2 linked regions of the Tamandua tetradactyla genome follow. Each later gene encodes a partner of the first gene's protein in a complex. Links are inferred from orthologs where the notes say so. Each region holds a gene or a part of one and is shown on either strand. Other genes may lie near its edges.

Region 1 (7,142 bases):
TGCTGAGCCCTGACAGTTCAACCCCAAATAATGCAGCCCCACACTGGAGGAGTCCAGAGACTGGGGGTGGGGGTGAGATCTAGGTGGCCCCTAAGTAATAAAACAAGGCATATGACAAGAGCAGCAGTGGAAGGATCTGCCATGGATGCACGGGAGTTCATTCATGCATCCAACAAACATTTCCCAAGAACCTACCAGTGCTAAGCATGATTCCAGGTGCTGGGGATACCACCACACAAAAGACATGGAAAACCTCTGCTCTCAGGAGTCTAACTTTCTAACGAGACAATAAATAATTAAGCAAATAAATGTACGGTAACTTCTGATCGACATAAATGCTAGGATCCCAACAAAGCAGTAATGGGATATGGGAAGATGCTGGAGGCAGGCTGTCTTCTGAGTTTGAGCCCCACCTTTGCCATGTATTCTGTTTGACCTAGAGCATGTAGTGTGATCTTACTGTACCCCCACCTTCCTTATCTGTAAAATGAGGAGAATAATAGTCCTTATCTCACAGAGTTGCGATGAGGATTAAATAAGTTAACGCAAGTCTTGGTACAAGTACCAGGTAAGCGACAAGCTCAATGTAACAATATAAAAAAAAGTTAATGAGGCAGAGTGAAGCAGCTCAGAAGGGTGGTCAAGAAAAGCCTGTTTAGGGACAACCAAATCAATAGGTCAAACCCTCAATCTTGGGGTTTGTTCATATGAAACTTATCCCCACAAAGGACAGGCTAAGACTACTTAAAATTAGGCCTTAAAAGCCACCCCCAGAGAACCTCTTTTGTTGCTCAGATGTGGCCTCTCTCTCAGCCAACACGGCAAGCAAACTCACTGCCCTCCCCCTCTCCTCATGGGACATGACTCCCAGGAGTGTAAACGTCCCTGGTAACATGGGACAAAAACCCTAGAATGAGCTGGGACTCAGCATGAAGGGGTTGAGAAAACCCTCTCAACCAAAAGAGGGAAAAGAGAAATGAGACAAAATAAAGTGTCAGTGGCTGAGAGATTTCAAAGAGTCAAGAGGTTATCCTGGAGATTATTATTATGCATTATATAGATATCCCCTTTTTAGTTTAAGGTGTGTTAGAGTGGCTAGAGGGAAGTGCCTGAAACTGTAGAGCTGTGTCCAGTAGCCATGTTTCTTGAAGATGATTGTGTAATGATATAGCTTTTGCAATGTGACTGTGTGATTGTGAAAAACTTGTATCTGATACTCCTTTTACCTACAGTATGGGCAGATGAGTAAAAGATATGGACAAATAATGGGGGGAACAAGTGTTAAATTGAGTAGGCTGAAATACTAGTGATCAATGAGAGTGGTAAGGGGTATAGGAAAAAAATAGGGGGAACAAAGGTTAAAATATATTGGGTAGATGGAAATACTAGTGGTCAATGAGAAGGAGGGGTAAGGAGTGTAGTATGTATGAGTTTTTTCTTTTTATTTCTTTTTCTGGAGTGATACAAATGTTCTGAGAAATGATCACGGTGATGAATATACAATTATGTGATGATATTATGAGGCATTGATTGTACATCAAGTATGGAATATTCATATGTTAAGACTGCTTGTGTTTGTATGTTGTTTTGTCAATAAAAATATTAAATACACACACACACACACATACACAAAGCCTGTTCGATAAGAACACAGGCCTACATGAATCTAGGAGAAATCCATTCCAGGCCCTAGAGAACAGCAGGTTAAAAGGTAGGAACTGGCTTGGATGTGTTCCAGAAAGAGGAAGCTGCTAGTAAGGGAAAGGGGAGACAGTAGGGTTGAGTTGGGAGAGGGAAGAAGGATCATTTAGGGCCTTGTAGGTCATGGAATGGTGTTTATGACTTTACCCTCAGAGTAATGGTAGGCCACCGAAGGGTTTTAAGGGCAGGGAAGTTGGGGAAGATGAGGCATGCTCTGATTTAGTATAAAGGAGGGTCATTCTCCTGCCATCTAGAGATTGGGCACCAGGAGAGGCAGAAATAGTGGCAGCAGGAGTCTCAGCTGGGAGGAGGAACAGGGGCAAGATCTCTCACCCAAATCCAGGGACCCACTACAAAGAACGAGATGGGACACTCCATGCACTCCTCCCTCTGGTGTGGGCAGGGACATCTGAACCAAAACATGGGGAAAATTATTAAACACTGGGCAAGTCATGGAAGGAAGCTGCAGCAGATGGCCCAGAGGCCCACAGCAAAAAAAGAAAAGACACGATCCAAGCGAATCAATAAAAATACATTTGCCCTTATATTTCAGAACACACTCAATTTACTATTGATATTAATTTTATATCAGCATTTATTGATTGCTTAGTTATGTGCCCAGGGTAATGTGCTACATGCATTTTCTCATTTAATTGTCCAAAACCCCAATCCATTCAACAATCAATTCAACAAATACTACTACCAGACACTCCTCTAGGGAAGACAGACAAAGCCCACACTTTCACGTAGCTTAAACTCTAGAGGGGAGACAGACCCTAAACAAAGAAACAAATATTTCACATGGTGATGAGAACTATGAAGAAAACAAAGCAGAGAAGGAGGAGGGATGAAGGGGAAAGTAGCTATTTTAGAAAGGATGGTATGAAAAGACTTCTCTGAGGAGGCAACTCTGGAGTAGCGACATAGATGGAGGGACCAAGCCAACCATGAGCTGATTTGTGGAAGAGTGTGCCATGTAGAAGGAACGCAAGTGCAGAGGCCCTGCCTGATGGGTTCAGGGTTCAAAAAAGCCATGGCAGCTGGAGCAGTGAGTGGAGAACAGCAGCATATGAAGTGGAAAGGGAACCAAGTACCAGGCAGGCCATGGGAAGACATTCTTATTTCATTCTAAGCACACAATGGGAAGTCACTAGAAGGTTGTGAACGATGCTTTAGCCACCATGTGGAGAATGGGCCGTAGGGAAGCAAGAGTGGGAGTCCAAGTTTGCAGGCTAGAGATGGTAGTTTAAGATATATTTTGGAAGCTGAATAATGAGTATTTAATGAACGTAATGCAAAGGGAAAAGGAGCTACCAATTATGACTACAAGTTTTGCCCTAAACACCACTCACTGGCTGTCACAAACAAAAATCAGAAAAACTAGAACAAGGGCAACTGGGAGAGAACTTATGGAGATAGGCGCTGCTATCACATTCTCATTTTCCAGATGAGTAAGATTTAAAGAGGTTAAATAAGTTGTCCAAGTTCCCCAACAGGTTAGAGGAATTACTAAGTACTTTGACATGCATTCTCTATTTTTACCCCCACAGTATCCCCTTATTATCAGCCCCTTCTTACTTATAAGAAAACTGAGGCTCAGAGAGATGAAGGTCTGATATGTCTTTCAATGAAGGACAGTCTTCCAAACTGTATGATCAGGAAACCAAGGAGGCAAGGCACAAAAGGATCTGGGATTTTAATAAAGTCACACCCAGCTTCTTTCTGAAGAATGTTTTGAAACCGCTCAAGACTCCTGGACAAAATCTATTGGCTGGGAGCTGCAGAAGGGACAACACTTGCCTAATGTAAAGTGTTTCTGAGTCCCCCACTTCAGACTCACAGTTGCTAATTAAATTGCAGATTCCTGGGTTCCTGCTTAGATTACTTGAATAACAATCTACGAAAGTGAGATCCGTAGCCTGCATTTATTAAAACTAGCGCTCCAGAAACCTCTGACGAGCAATAAAGTTTAAAACTGTGTAAGTAGCGTTTGAACCATGAACCTGGCGGCCTCAGCGTCCGCAACTGTAAAAGGGGAGGTTAATAATAATAAATTAATAAACTCGCTCCTCCCGCTTGCTGTGAGAATCAAACGAGACGATTAACTAGAGCAAGCGGAGGAGCCGCGGATCACTGCGTACCGAAGAGGACGGTTGAAGCACTGTGGGATACAGCGCGTCTGTCAGCCTCTCGCAGCCACTATCTTCCATTGCACGGCTGCCACGTCGCAATGCTGAGCGTCACCGGACGCCGTCTGATCGTAACTGTAACCACCCTCTTGCGTCTAGGCGCCTCGGAGAATAACGCCGACACCTCATAAAGAGCAGTGACGAACTTCCGGGACTGCCTTAGCTTTACGGCTCATGCATTCTTCTGCCGAATCCGGAGGAAGATGGCGCACAGTTTACGACAGCGCCGGTTTTGTTTACGGCGCCGGCTATTGCGCGCGCATCTTTCCTCCTTTCCCGGTTCCTGGGAGAGCTGTCGGTGGCACGATCTCTGACCCAGGCCATCTATCGCAATCTGGGCCGGCCGAGGCCGTTGCAGGTGAGCGGGGTCTTCCGTGGGACCCTGCGGGCCCCCGGAAGCGGCCCGGGCTGGGTTCGGCGTTCCAGGGCCTCCCGGAAGAGACCTCTTTTACGTCGGCTCCTGCCGCCGCGTCTTCAGCAGCCCCCAGTGAGGGTTGAGGGGACCCAGCCCTGTGTGTGAGGTCCCTGGCTCTAGGCTCCGCTTAGCTGCCTTAGGCTAGGCAAATTTGGTTGTTGCCCAAACCTGCTGGATCTCAGGGTCTCCCTTCAAAAGTGATCTGAGTTCCTATGAGTTTAATACTGGAGGTGCCATCCTGAGCGGTGTTCGGCCCCTGCCTTGAGGATCTCACAGTTCATTGGTTTCCTTGTGAAATGGGAGGGTAGAATGCAGTTGTCCTCGGGGATTGATGGCGTACGGTCTGTGGTGACCGTGGTAATCTACGCAACACTATGGCCTCCCAACCACCCTTCTGATTGCATTGTTGATGCCTCCCTATCCTGCTCCTGGGGCCAGTACAGCTGCCCTTATAGTTTTGCCTGAACGGCTCAGTTTTCCGTACTCATTCTATTCTCACTATTTTACACTGCCTGAAGCCCAGGTACTACTTCCCATCGCCTGGAGAAGTCTGGTCTGAAAGCCCCAGATATTTCCTGGCTGCTGTCCATCTATAATAGAATGGAAAGAATGCTGGACTTGCAGCAAACAGCCCCCGAAATCAAATTTATTTTGAAACCATGGACAGATCAGCTGCGTGGAATTTGGCTGAGCTTCTCGTTTTTTATTCTCTAAAATTGGGAGAGTGAGGATTACTGATGATAAAGTATCTAGTATCATTTCCTGGCATGTAATTAGGAGCTCAAGAAATACTTACTGGATGTGAATTGTTGCGATTGCCACCCCTTTCCTTCTGAACTCCTCTCCCTGTAATATAGCTTCAGTTCAGAGTTGGAAGATGATGCTCCCAGGTTCATTTCCTGTTGCTGTCACCCAGGAACCCTCAACCTCCCCGTCTTGGGGCCATGAGGACAGTTTGCCAATTTCAGTACAGCTGTGCTCTTTGATTGCTCTCCAGCTTCCAGGAGATATTTGTGTGATGAATTTTCCTCTGGGAAAATGCTTCCGAGTGTTGTCAGGGAGTTACAATGAATAAATGCATAGGCTTTTGATGAGAGCTATAAGGCAAGCATCTGCCGTAGAGTCCCTGGTGTTTGATCTCCTGAGGGGACCTATTGTGGCATTATGATGATGATGGCAGTGGTGGTACAGCAGCACAGTATGGACTCAAGCCAGATTGCCTGTGTTCAAATTCCTTATCAATATCAATATTGCGGCTTTAGCGTTGGTTTTCTTATCTAGAAAGTGGGGATAACACTGGCCCCAACTTCATAGGATTCCTTGGAGGATGTAGTGAATCAATGCATGTCAAGCACTAAGAACAAGGCTTAGTGCCCATAATATTTGTAAATAGTTTTTCATCCATACATAATTTATTTTTTTAATATTTTTATTGACAAAACAACATACAAACATGAACATTCTTAACATATGAACATTCCATACTTGGTGTACAATCAACCACTCACAGTTTCATCACATAGTTGTATATTCATCAGTACGATCATTTCTTAGAACACTTGCGTAACTCCAGAAAAAGAAATAAAAACGAAAGAATCATACATACCACACCCCTTACCCCGCCCTAAAGTTTTTGGTGACCTCACCTTTCTGGCAGCCCTTTTACCTCGCTCTGTTTCCACTTGCTCCATGTAGGATTTGCATCAATAATAGAAAACTAGACAACAGAAGAAAGTCAGATTTCAAGGTATACTGAAGGATTCTTTTTTTTTCTAAGTACTCTGTTCAGAAATATATTTTTGCAAGTCAAATAGTAATTGCAAGGCATTTTACAAAGACAGCATTTTCAAATGTGTTAATTAATATGACTTTCTCAGTGATCCAATGATACAGATAAAACAGATTCCATTTATTTTACAGATGCAGGGACTGAAGCTTAGGGAAGTGTTCTATGCCATGGTGAAGGAAGAACCAAATGTGGTTACCACACTTGAAAAAAATATTATCATATTTCATCAAATCTGAGACACCATTAATTTTAAAAAGTACCATTTTATGTAACATTAAGAAAGTTAAGCTATGACATACCATCAAATATAAGGTGCATCCTTAATTCAAAGATGTTAACTAGGCTAGTAGTCTTCTGAGTTTTAACTATTCAGAGTATTTATAAGAAAACACTGGTAAGAGTTTCACAGTTGAATATTCTGTATTGTGTGTTGCTTTTTGAATTGTATTTTGGGAACTTCCTTCATGTAGCAACTCACATTTTCTGTATTTTTTAGTTTTAGAACATGGCGAAGTTCATGACTCCTGTGATTCAGGACAACCCCTCAGGCTGGGGTCCCTGTGCAGTTCCTGAGCAGTTTCGGGATATGCCCTACCAGCCATTCAGCAAAGGAGATCGGCTAGGAAAGGTACTTGCCTGTCCATGGTCTCTGCATCTTTTAAACTGACGGTACTTCTCTCCAGGAGTTCCTATTTGAGTTTTATTCTCTCACAAGCCAAACTCCTGTGTTCCTTATAGTGATACCAGCTGAGAAAGATTATAACCTCTGTGAGTAATCATAGGAAAACTGGGTGCTTAAAAAGCCATTGTGAACCAGTTCTTCTGATACTCTATCACATTGTGTCCTTTCACTTCAGGGATTTCTGGATCACAAGAAACTTAACTGGTTGATCTATGTTTTCTCTGTCTTCCCTTATGGCTCTTAATAGGTTGCAGACTGGACAGGTGCCACATACCAGGATAAGAGGTATACAAGTAAGTATTCTTCAGCTGCCTGGATCAGGACCTTGTGACGATTTTCTTCCTAGTAATCTGCATCTGAAAGCTT
Region 2 (7,887 bases), on another chromosome or scaffold:
ATAAGGATGGAGAGGGAGATGCAGAGACAGACTGAGAGACAGAGAGGGGAAAGGCAGAAAGAGACGGAGATGGGGAGACCCAGAGATCAAGATAAAAATGAGACAAACACACTTAACCATGTATCTCCAAAATAAAAAGAGACAAGCACAGAAACAGGCAGAAAGAGGCACCAACAGACGTGGGGAAATGAAAAACTCAAGACAGAGCCAAAGATGACAGGATGTCCCACAGAGAAAGGCCAGGGGGAAAGGAGCCAGGAAAGAACTCTCCAGAGAACTAGGTGTGGGGGGGGGGGGGAGCAGCTGCTCCCCCCACCCCCCAGGGGCCTGCCAGGGAGCCCTCACCAGTAGGGCGTCCCAATGAAGGAGAGGCGTCGAGCCAGTGTCGCCCCGATCTGGGCCGAGATTCCAAAGTCAGCTGGAGGCAGAGGGAGAGACAGTGAGCTGGGGTCCCCTGCCCTCCCCCCAGGCCCCCTGCCCCCCTCACCAGCCACACTCACCCAGTCTGACCTCCCCAGCATCATTGATGAGGATATTGGCTCCCTGGAGGCAAGAGAGGGGTGAGAGACTGGCAGGGACCCTCTCCCCAGGCTCCCCTACCCGACAGCTCAACTACACCAAGCTCCCATCCCCTGGGGTCCCCATGCCCCCAATACCACCCCTCTGCCCCAGACCACCTTGATGTCTCGGTGTATCTTCTTCTGTGAGTGCAAATAGGCCAGCCCCTGGGGAGGAGGGTTGACAGGGGAGCTATGAGTACGGTATGAGGGTGGGGTGGGGAGCAGGGCCCTGCACCCACCACCCCCGGTCCTCTCCTTACCTGGAGCACTTCCCGGCAGACATAGCCGATCTGGAGTTCTGAGAGGGAGCCGGTCACTGCAGAGGCACAGGTCACCCAAGGCACAGCGTTGGGTGGGAAGCCAGGAAACCTGGATCCAGGTGTCCCCCGGCTCCAACCCACACTGGTTTGGGGAGTGAGGCGAGACAGAGAGCTGTCTAGCCACAGAGAAGCAGGAACGTGGGGAAACAGAGGCCCGGGGGAGACAGAGGAGATGGGTGCCTGGGGCCCTAAACAGACAGAGACCCTGCCATTGTGGGAGAGAACATTCCAGTGGGGAAGGGAGATAGTACATGAGAGAACCGAGCAAAATAGACCATGAGATGTTACCAAGTGGTGAGAAGCAAAACAAAGTAGGAAAGGACAACAGGAAATAAGTGTGGGGAGGGGTATGAAATTTTAGCCAGGGTGGTCAGGGACGGCCCCTCTGAGAAGATGGTATTTGGGTAACATGAGTTGCCCCACTCTGAGGAGAGTGAGAAGAGCAGGTGCAGAGGCCGGAGGCGGGAGTGGGCTGGTGGGAAAGTGGCGAGGTGGGTGGGGAGGAAAGCGGGGGGAGGAAAGGTCGGTCAGCTGGAGGGGGCCGGGATAGACTTGGGGACCCCTCCCATGAGGTCTTTGGGTAACTCTTCAGAGTTAGGTGATTGCAGGATGAGGTGAGGCAGAGATGCAGAGATGGAGAGAGACAGACAGAGGAGCAGGACAGATCCCAACTGAAGCAGAGAGAAAAAGAGATGATGAGGACACGTGGGAAACAGACATATCTAGAAAGAGAGAGACACAGAAGGGTGGAGAAGGAGGAGAAACAGACAGACAGTGAGACAGAGAAAGGTAGTCAGAGACCAGATATGACAGGCAGGCTGTGTGAGCCACTTCCTGTATGGGGGCCTCAGTTTCCCCTCCCTGAAGACTTCTGACATTTGAAGTCTTGGGCTGGAGGGAGTCAGGCATCAGAAATCCAGAGAGGTGTTCAGAGACCCACTCCACCTTCAAATTCTCCAAGAGTAAAGGGCAGCGTGAGAGAGAGAGAGATGCAGAAATTCATTCACTCATTTAACGAGTCCTTAGGCATCATCTACTCTGAGCCAGAAATGCGGAAATATTCAACCACATGGACAGAAAACTGTCTTGCTTGACAAGAAAATGCAGACACAGAGATGGGGGTAGGTGGAGAGAGGGGATCTTTGGAGGCAGAAAGATTTGGGCTGGGCTGTCAGGTCCTGGAGGGCAGGGCCCAGCCCAGAGCAGGGGGCTCAGTGTATGAACTATGGTCCAAAAAACCTATCCCAGGCAGAAGCAAACAGAGGGAGGCAGGAGGAGACCGAAGGGGTAGCCTGGAGGTACAGAGGGGGCCTGGATTCCTTCTCCCTCCTCTCACCCTGGTAGATGTCCTGGAGAGAACCAGCCCCGCAGAACTCCATGCAGATCCAGAGCTTTTGCAGCCTGCAGTGGTTCAATGACAATAATAAAATGATAATGTCAGGAACACTATTTGCAGGAGAGCCTCTAGGTCACTGTCTGTCTTATGCTAGTTCAACCAGCACACTAAGGGAACAGCAGTCATCTCTCTATCTCCCGTTGCCCGGCAGAGTGAAATTGTTCTGTCTCCATTTTACAGATAGCAAAAATGAAGAAAAAGAGAAGTGTGCTTTCAGAGTGAGCTGGACTCGAATACAGATCTTCAGAGCTCCAAACCCAGGGCACCCTCTGTTGTCCCATGCTAACCTAGGAGACAGGCAGGCATCTCAGAGGTTGGGGAGGTAGGAAGGGGAAAAGGGGCCCAGGGTGCCCCATCTGAGGGACAGTGATCATTGTTGGGGTATCTGGTATATTCATTTTTGGGTCAAGGAATTGAGGAGTTCATATTAATGAAGGAGAAAGTGAAACTCAGGGACTAAAAGGCCAGAATGATGACAGATTAGTTTGAAGAGACTCGAGTTTCAGGTTTAGTTGAAACTATGATGGGATCGTTTTGGGGACCCCTGGTCAGAAATGGGAGTTCTGAATTGGGGGTCAGAACAGGGGGTACTTTGGTCAGAAAACAGGTCTTGGGACTAGATATCAGTAGGGGTGCAGCAGTTAGAAATGGGGGTTCAGGATTGATGGTTAGGTTCTGGTGCTTGGATCAGAAATGGTAGCTCATGTTAGGTGCCCCAGTCAGAAATGAGGGTTCTGGTTTGGGGGCTGGACTGGCTCCCTAGGCAGGGCCCAGGCCCCTCACCAGAGATAGCTCCCATGGTAGGCCACGATGTTGGCATGCCGGCAAGTTTTCAAGATGAGGATTTCCTTCTGAAGGGTTGAGACATCATCGTCTGCGAGGAGGGGGAGAGAAGCAGCAGCAGCTGGAGGATGGGGCAATGGGGGAGGCCATCCTGGTGTCCCAGGAGGTGGGGGGAGGGGAGGAGGAGGGAGCTCCTGGGTCCTCATCTCACCAGGCTCCATCTTCACCATTTTCAATGCCACCAGGTCCCTCGTCACCTTGTCTCGGGCCTTGTAAGGGGAAGTTGGAAGTCATTAAGGCCCGGCTGGCCTGAGTCCTTCCTCAGCATCCCTGAGCCAAGGCCAAGGACCCATGCATACCTTTCCTTTCCCAGGCCTCCTCCCAAAGGTCACTGCTTAGAAGGTGATAGAGAAGGGAGGTGGGGGGTGGGGGGTGAAGGGCTCCTCACCTTGAAGACTTCCCCGTAGGTGCCGCCCCCCAGCCGTTGCAGCAAGTCATAGTGGTCCCGGGGGTCCCTATTAAAGATATCAGGGTCCACGAGGTCCATCCCTGGGGGCCGGAGCTGGGCCTGTGCCCAGGGGCCAGCAGGGCCTCAGGGCTGGAGTGCTGGAACCTCCCTCCCTCCCTATACACCAGCCACCAGCCTTGCATAGGCAGGCTGCGGCCTCAGGCTGCGGCCTCCCCCCTCCCCACTCTCGCTTCCTGCCCCGATGCAGGGCGGTGCAACCGGCTCCACCCCCTGTCCCTTGGGCCTTGAAAGCTGTGAGGGGCAGCTTGCCTTGGGACCCAGGGGACCCTGATCCACCCCAGGCGCCAGGGCTGGATGTAACGAAATGCAAATGATCTTTATTGCGACCGGGGGTGGGGAGGGGGGGGGCTGCTTCAGCACCTCCTCCCCCTATTTTGGGTCAGGGCCATAGCTGAAGCTCTGCTGAATGCTTGAGGGTTTGGGCACAACTTGCAGGTGGCAGATCTGCACAGGCCATGCAATGTACATGCCTGTACATTGGGAAACATACATGCACTTACGTAGTACTCGCCTGTGCTGTTCATAGACCTGCAGACGTAGTACATTCCTGTTTACCTGTGTACACAAATGTGGATGTACCCAGAGCACACGCCTCCATATTCACGCACATGGCCGGGCACTCGCACCCGTAATACGCATTCTAAACATACTTGGGGGGCTCGCCTTCTGCCCCAAGACTGGAGCCCCGTGGATAATGAACACACACACACACACACACACACACACACACACCAGGCCCCGTGGAGAATGAACACACACACACACACCCCAGCCCCCACCAGCCCAACGGGGCTCTCCCCCTGGAGCTGGGGTGGAAGGTGAGGACAGGGTTCAGGACTTCAAACTGGGGTCGGTCTCAGGGTTCTGCCTCAAGTGCCCAGGCCTCACGCATGGGCGACCTCAAAGCGTACAGCCTTTGAGAGTTACCCCAGAGGGAGAGCATCAACGTATAATCCCACAGGGTTTTGTGAATTCACCGCCACGAGCAAAACGACGAGCTCGCAAACCATCAGAGTTCCGTCTCCTTCCGGGAGAAGTACTTGAGCACAGACGCACGCGCTCCGAGACCTGGAACGCGAGGCCCGGGAAAAGCCTAGCCCCGCCTTCCCGTCCACAGAGGGCGCCTGCGCACTAGGGTAGAGTAAGCTTTTTGTCATGCTACTGGTCCAAGCGCTGGAGGAGCGAATGCGCACGCGCCATAAACGCGTGCTGAGAAGAAGTCACGTGGTAGCTGAAAAGCGTGGCGACCGCTGCAACAATCCTGAGAGGGGGCGCGGTGAAACAACAAAACGTATTTCCGCTTCCGCAACCTCTTCCGCTTCCGGCCCTTGAGGACGCTGCACGGGTTCTGACTTGGGTTCAATTGCTGGTGTGGGAAACGGCGGTAATCATGGCGATGTTTGAACAGATGAGAGCGAACGTGGGCAAGTTGCTCAAGGGTATCGACAGGTCTGAGCATGGTCGGAGGGAGCGCTTCTGGCCAGGCGGGGGGGAGGAGAGGATTTTCCAGAGACATCGAGGGGTAGTCAGGGTGCCTGGCCGGTTCTGGGGTGGTGTCTCCCCGTCAGTTTAAGTGTCTGTGTATGTGTAAGAATTCATTCTGAAGGAGGATATTTCTAAGGAAATAGCGCTGCGAAGAACCTAGAGGCAAGAGAGAACCTTGTCTATGACTCATCTCCCCCAACTTGATTGCCTTCAGGTCTCCTCGCCTTGTTCCTCAGCCTTCCCTCTCTCAGCACCCCCAGCCTCCTGTCTCTTAGCTCCTCATTCTCAGTGTCTTTCTCAATGCCTCTTAGTCTCGCTCCTCTTTCTACCTCATGTTACTTATTCAACATATGTTCACAGAAATATGTTCTGTCAGTGGAGGGCGATACTAGGGATCCAGCGGTGACCAAGAGAGCCGCTCACCCTGGGTTCATGAAGTTCCTGGTCCAGAGGCGAGCCAGAACCACAGTAGAAAGTGATCGCTGGAAATGGACAGGACTCTGATGGGGAAGCGAAGGCCAGGTTGAGTCTGATGGCTCTGATGCGGGGTAATACAGACAGGAGTGAGGGCTGGAGTGGGAAAGCACAGGCAGAGGTAGAGGATGGGATGGGGAGAACTCAGGGGGCTGTGGGAATCTGAGGTAGAGGAGACATCTGACTCCGCCTGGGTCAGGCGAGGCTTTTTAAGGTGGTGAAGTCAAAGTTAAGACCTGGAAAATGAGTGGAAGTAAAGTAAATGAAGAGGGATAGGGAAAGACTAGAGCCAGATAAGAGTGGGAAGAATGATGTTCCAGGTGGAGGAAACATGTCAAAGACTCTGAGATGAGATGAGCTTAGTGATTTTAGGAGTTGAAAGACTTTTTTTTTTTAATATATGTTGTATGGCTGGGTCACACTTCGTTATTTTTCCATGTGAATATCCCATTATTGCAGCACCCTTTGTTGAATTTTTGTTTGCTTATTTTTTTGATTGTTTATTATGCTTGTTTTTGGAAAGTGCATGGGCCAGGAATCAAACCCGGGTCTCCCACATGTCAGGCGAAAATTACACCATTGAACTATCCTTGCACTCTCAAAAGCCATTCATTTATTACAGTTAGGCTAAAATGTGGAGTGAGAGTCAGAAGTGGTGAAAGATGGAACCAACTACATTGCAAGGGCCCAGATCATGGAGGGAAAACATGGGGACCATAGAATGACTTTATGTAGATGAACCTGGTCGTATCTGTGCTTTAGAAAAATCCCTCTGGCTGTTGTATGGAGAATGGAGTCAGGGTTGAATCTGGGGAAAGGTGTAAGACTAGGTAGGAAAGGATGGAGCTGGAGCAGAGTAAGTGGGATTCTGAGAAGGGAAGGAAAGGGTGGGTAATAGAGATGTTTGGGAGGCCAAACACACAGACTGCAGGGACTGATGGGCTGAGGGGGGGTGGCGATGGGGCATCCAGGGATCCGTTGGGATCTGGAGCATAGCAGAAAGTCTGAGCTAGATTTTACTAGAGGTTATAATGCTAATTCAACATTGGAGTGTGCCAGGTGCTCAGTGCCAGATTTAGAAGGAAGGACTAAAGGGCCCCATAAAGTGGCTTCAGCTCTGTCTCCTTATTACTCACCTATTTTCTTCCTCTTTTAGATACAATCCTGAGAATCTGGCCACTCTGGAGCGCTATGTAGAGACGCAGGCCAAGGAAAATGCTTATGATCTGGAAGCCAACCTAGCTGTCCTGAAGCTGTGAGTATCTGCCCCCACTGCCACTCCTGTGCCAGCAGAACGGTACCACCCCCAAAACAGGGTAGGGCTGAGAGGGTTAACCTGTAAGATATGGCTTTTCTTGGTTTGCAAGACTAGGAAGCTACAGAAGTTGGAGGGGGGTTGGTGGGGTGGGGGGGGTACTTATAAAACATTAATTGCAAAACACATTACAAGATAGTATGTAAAATAAATATACAGTTTAACAAATAAAAGCAAATACCCATGTAATCAATCATATTGCAAAATCAAGTGCTGCCAGTGCCCTCAGAGCCCATGTGCTCTATACCAGCCAAACCCCTACCCCGATTTTGGTAACTACTCACATGGCCTGGTTTTCTGTGATAGTTGACTGCATATGCATGTATCCTGATCAATTTAGCTTAGTTTTCCCTGCTTTGAACTTAACATAAATAGAATTCTGCAGCATGATGTGTCTGCCATCTTCTGCTCAAAACTGGGATTGTGAGAACCATCCTTTTTTTGTGTGTGTGGTGTATGTGACTGCTGTTTGTTAATTATCATTGCTGGATAATACTCCACTGTGTGACTCTGTCCTGCTTATCTGTTCTCTTATTGATGGACATTTCAGTTCTTCCCTCTTGGGAGCTTTCTTGACATACTACCAGCTGTGTAATTGTTTTTTTAATTGATAAATCTTCACACACACATGGTTATTCATGGTATACAATCAGTTGCTTACAATATCATCACGTAGTTGTGTATTCATCACCATGATCATTTTCAGAACATTTGTATCACTCCAGAAAAAGAAATTGGAAAAAAGACCTCCCTCTCATTAACCACCAATATTTCCATCTACTCACTTTATTTTACTCCTTATCTGCCATTAATGCATATTTTTTTTACTCATCTGTTCATACCCTGGATTAAAGAAGCATCAGACACGAGATTTACACAGTCACAGTCACATTGTTAATCTTACATCTTTATACAGTTGCCTTGGAGAATTGAGGCTACTAGAACACAGCTCAACAGTTTCAGTTACTTCCCTCCAGCCACTCCAATATACCATAAACTAAAAAGGGATATCTGTCTAATGCATA

What was found. Proteins that work in one complex are often made in the same cells at the same time.
Region 2: EIF3D (region 1) and EIF3K share a complex: the UniProt entries of both Homo sapiens proteins name them as parts of the eukaryotic translation initiation factor 3 (eIF-3) complex. The link is inferred for Tamandua tetradactyla from reciprocal best matches to the Homo sapiens genes EIF3D and EIF3K.

The regions. Positions count from the first base shown.
Region 1 is NC_135333.1:28,871,072-28,878,213, reverse strand, and holds the start of EIF3D (eukaryotic translation initiation factor 3 subunit D), read left to right. Parts: upstream 1-4,066; 5' UTR 4,067-4,248; intron 4,249-6,590; 5' UTR 6,591-6,599; coding exon 6,600-6,722; intron 6,723-7,023; coding exon 7,024-7,069; intron 7,070-7,142. UniProt on the Homo sapiens protein: mRNA cap-binding component of the eukaryotic translation initiation factor 3 (eIF-3) complex, a complex required for several steps in the initiation of protein synthesis of a specialized repertoire of mRNAs.
Region 2 is NC_135342.1:25,378,856-25,386,742, reverse strand, and holds the start of EIF3K (eukaryotic translation initiation factor 3 subunit K), read left to right. Parts: upstream 1-4,879; 5' UTR 4,880-4,978; coding exon 4,979-5,037; intron 5,038-6,703; coding exon 6,704-6,802; intron 6,803-7,887. Other genes in the region: MAP4K1 (mitogen-activated protein kinase kinase kinase kinase 1), read right to left, coding at 346-418, 501-543, 678-725, 821-876, 2,217-2,281, 3,060-3,150, 3,271-3,328, 3,508-3,574 and 1 more. UniProt on the Homo sapiens protein: Component of the eukaryotic translation initiation factor 3 (eIF-3) complex, which is required for several steps in the initiation of protein synthesis.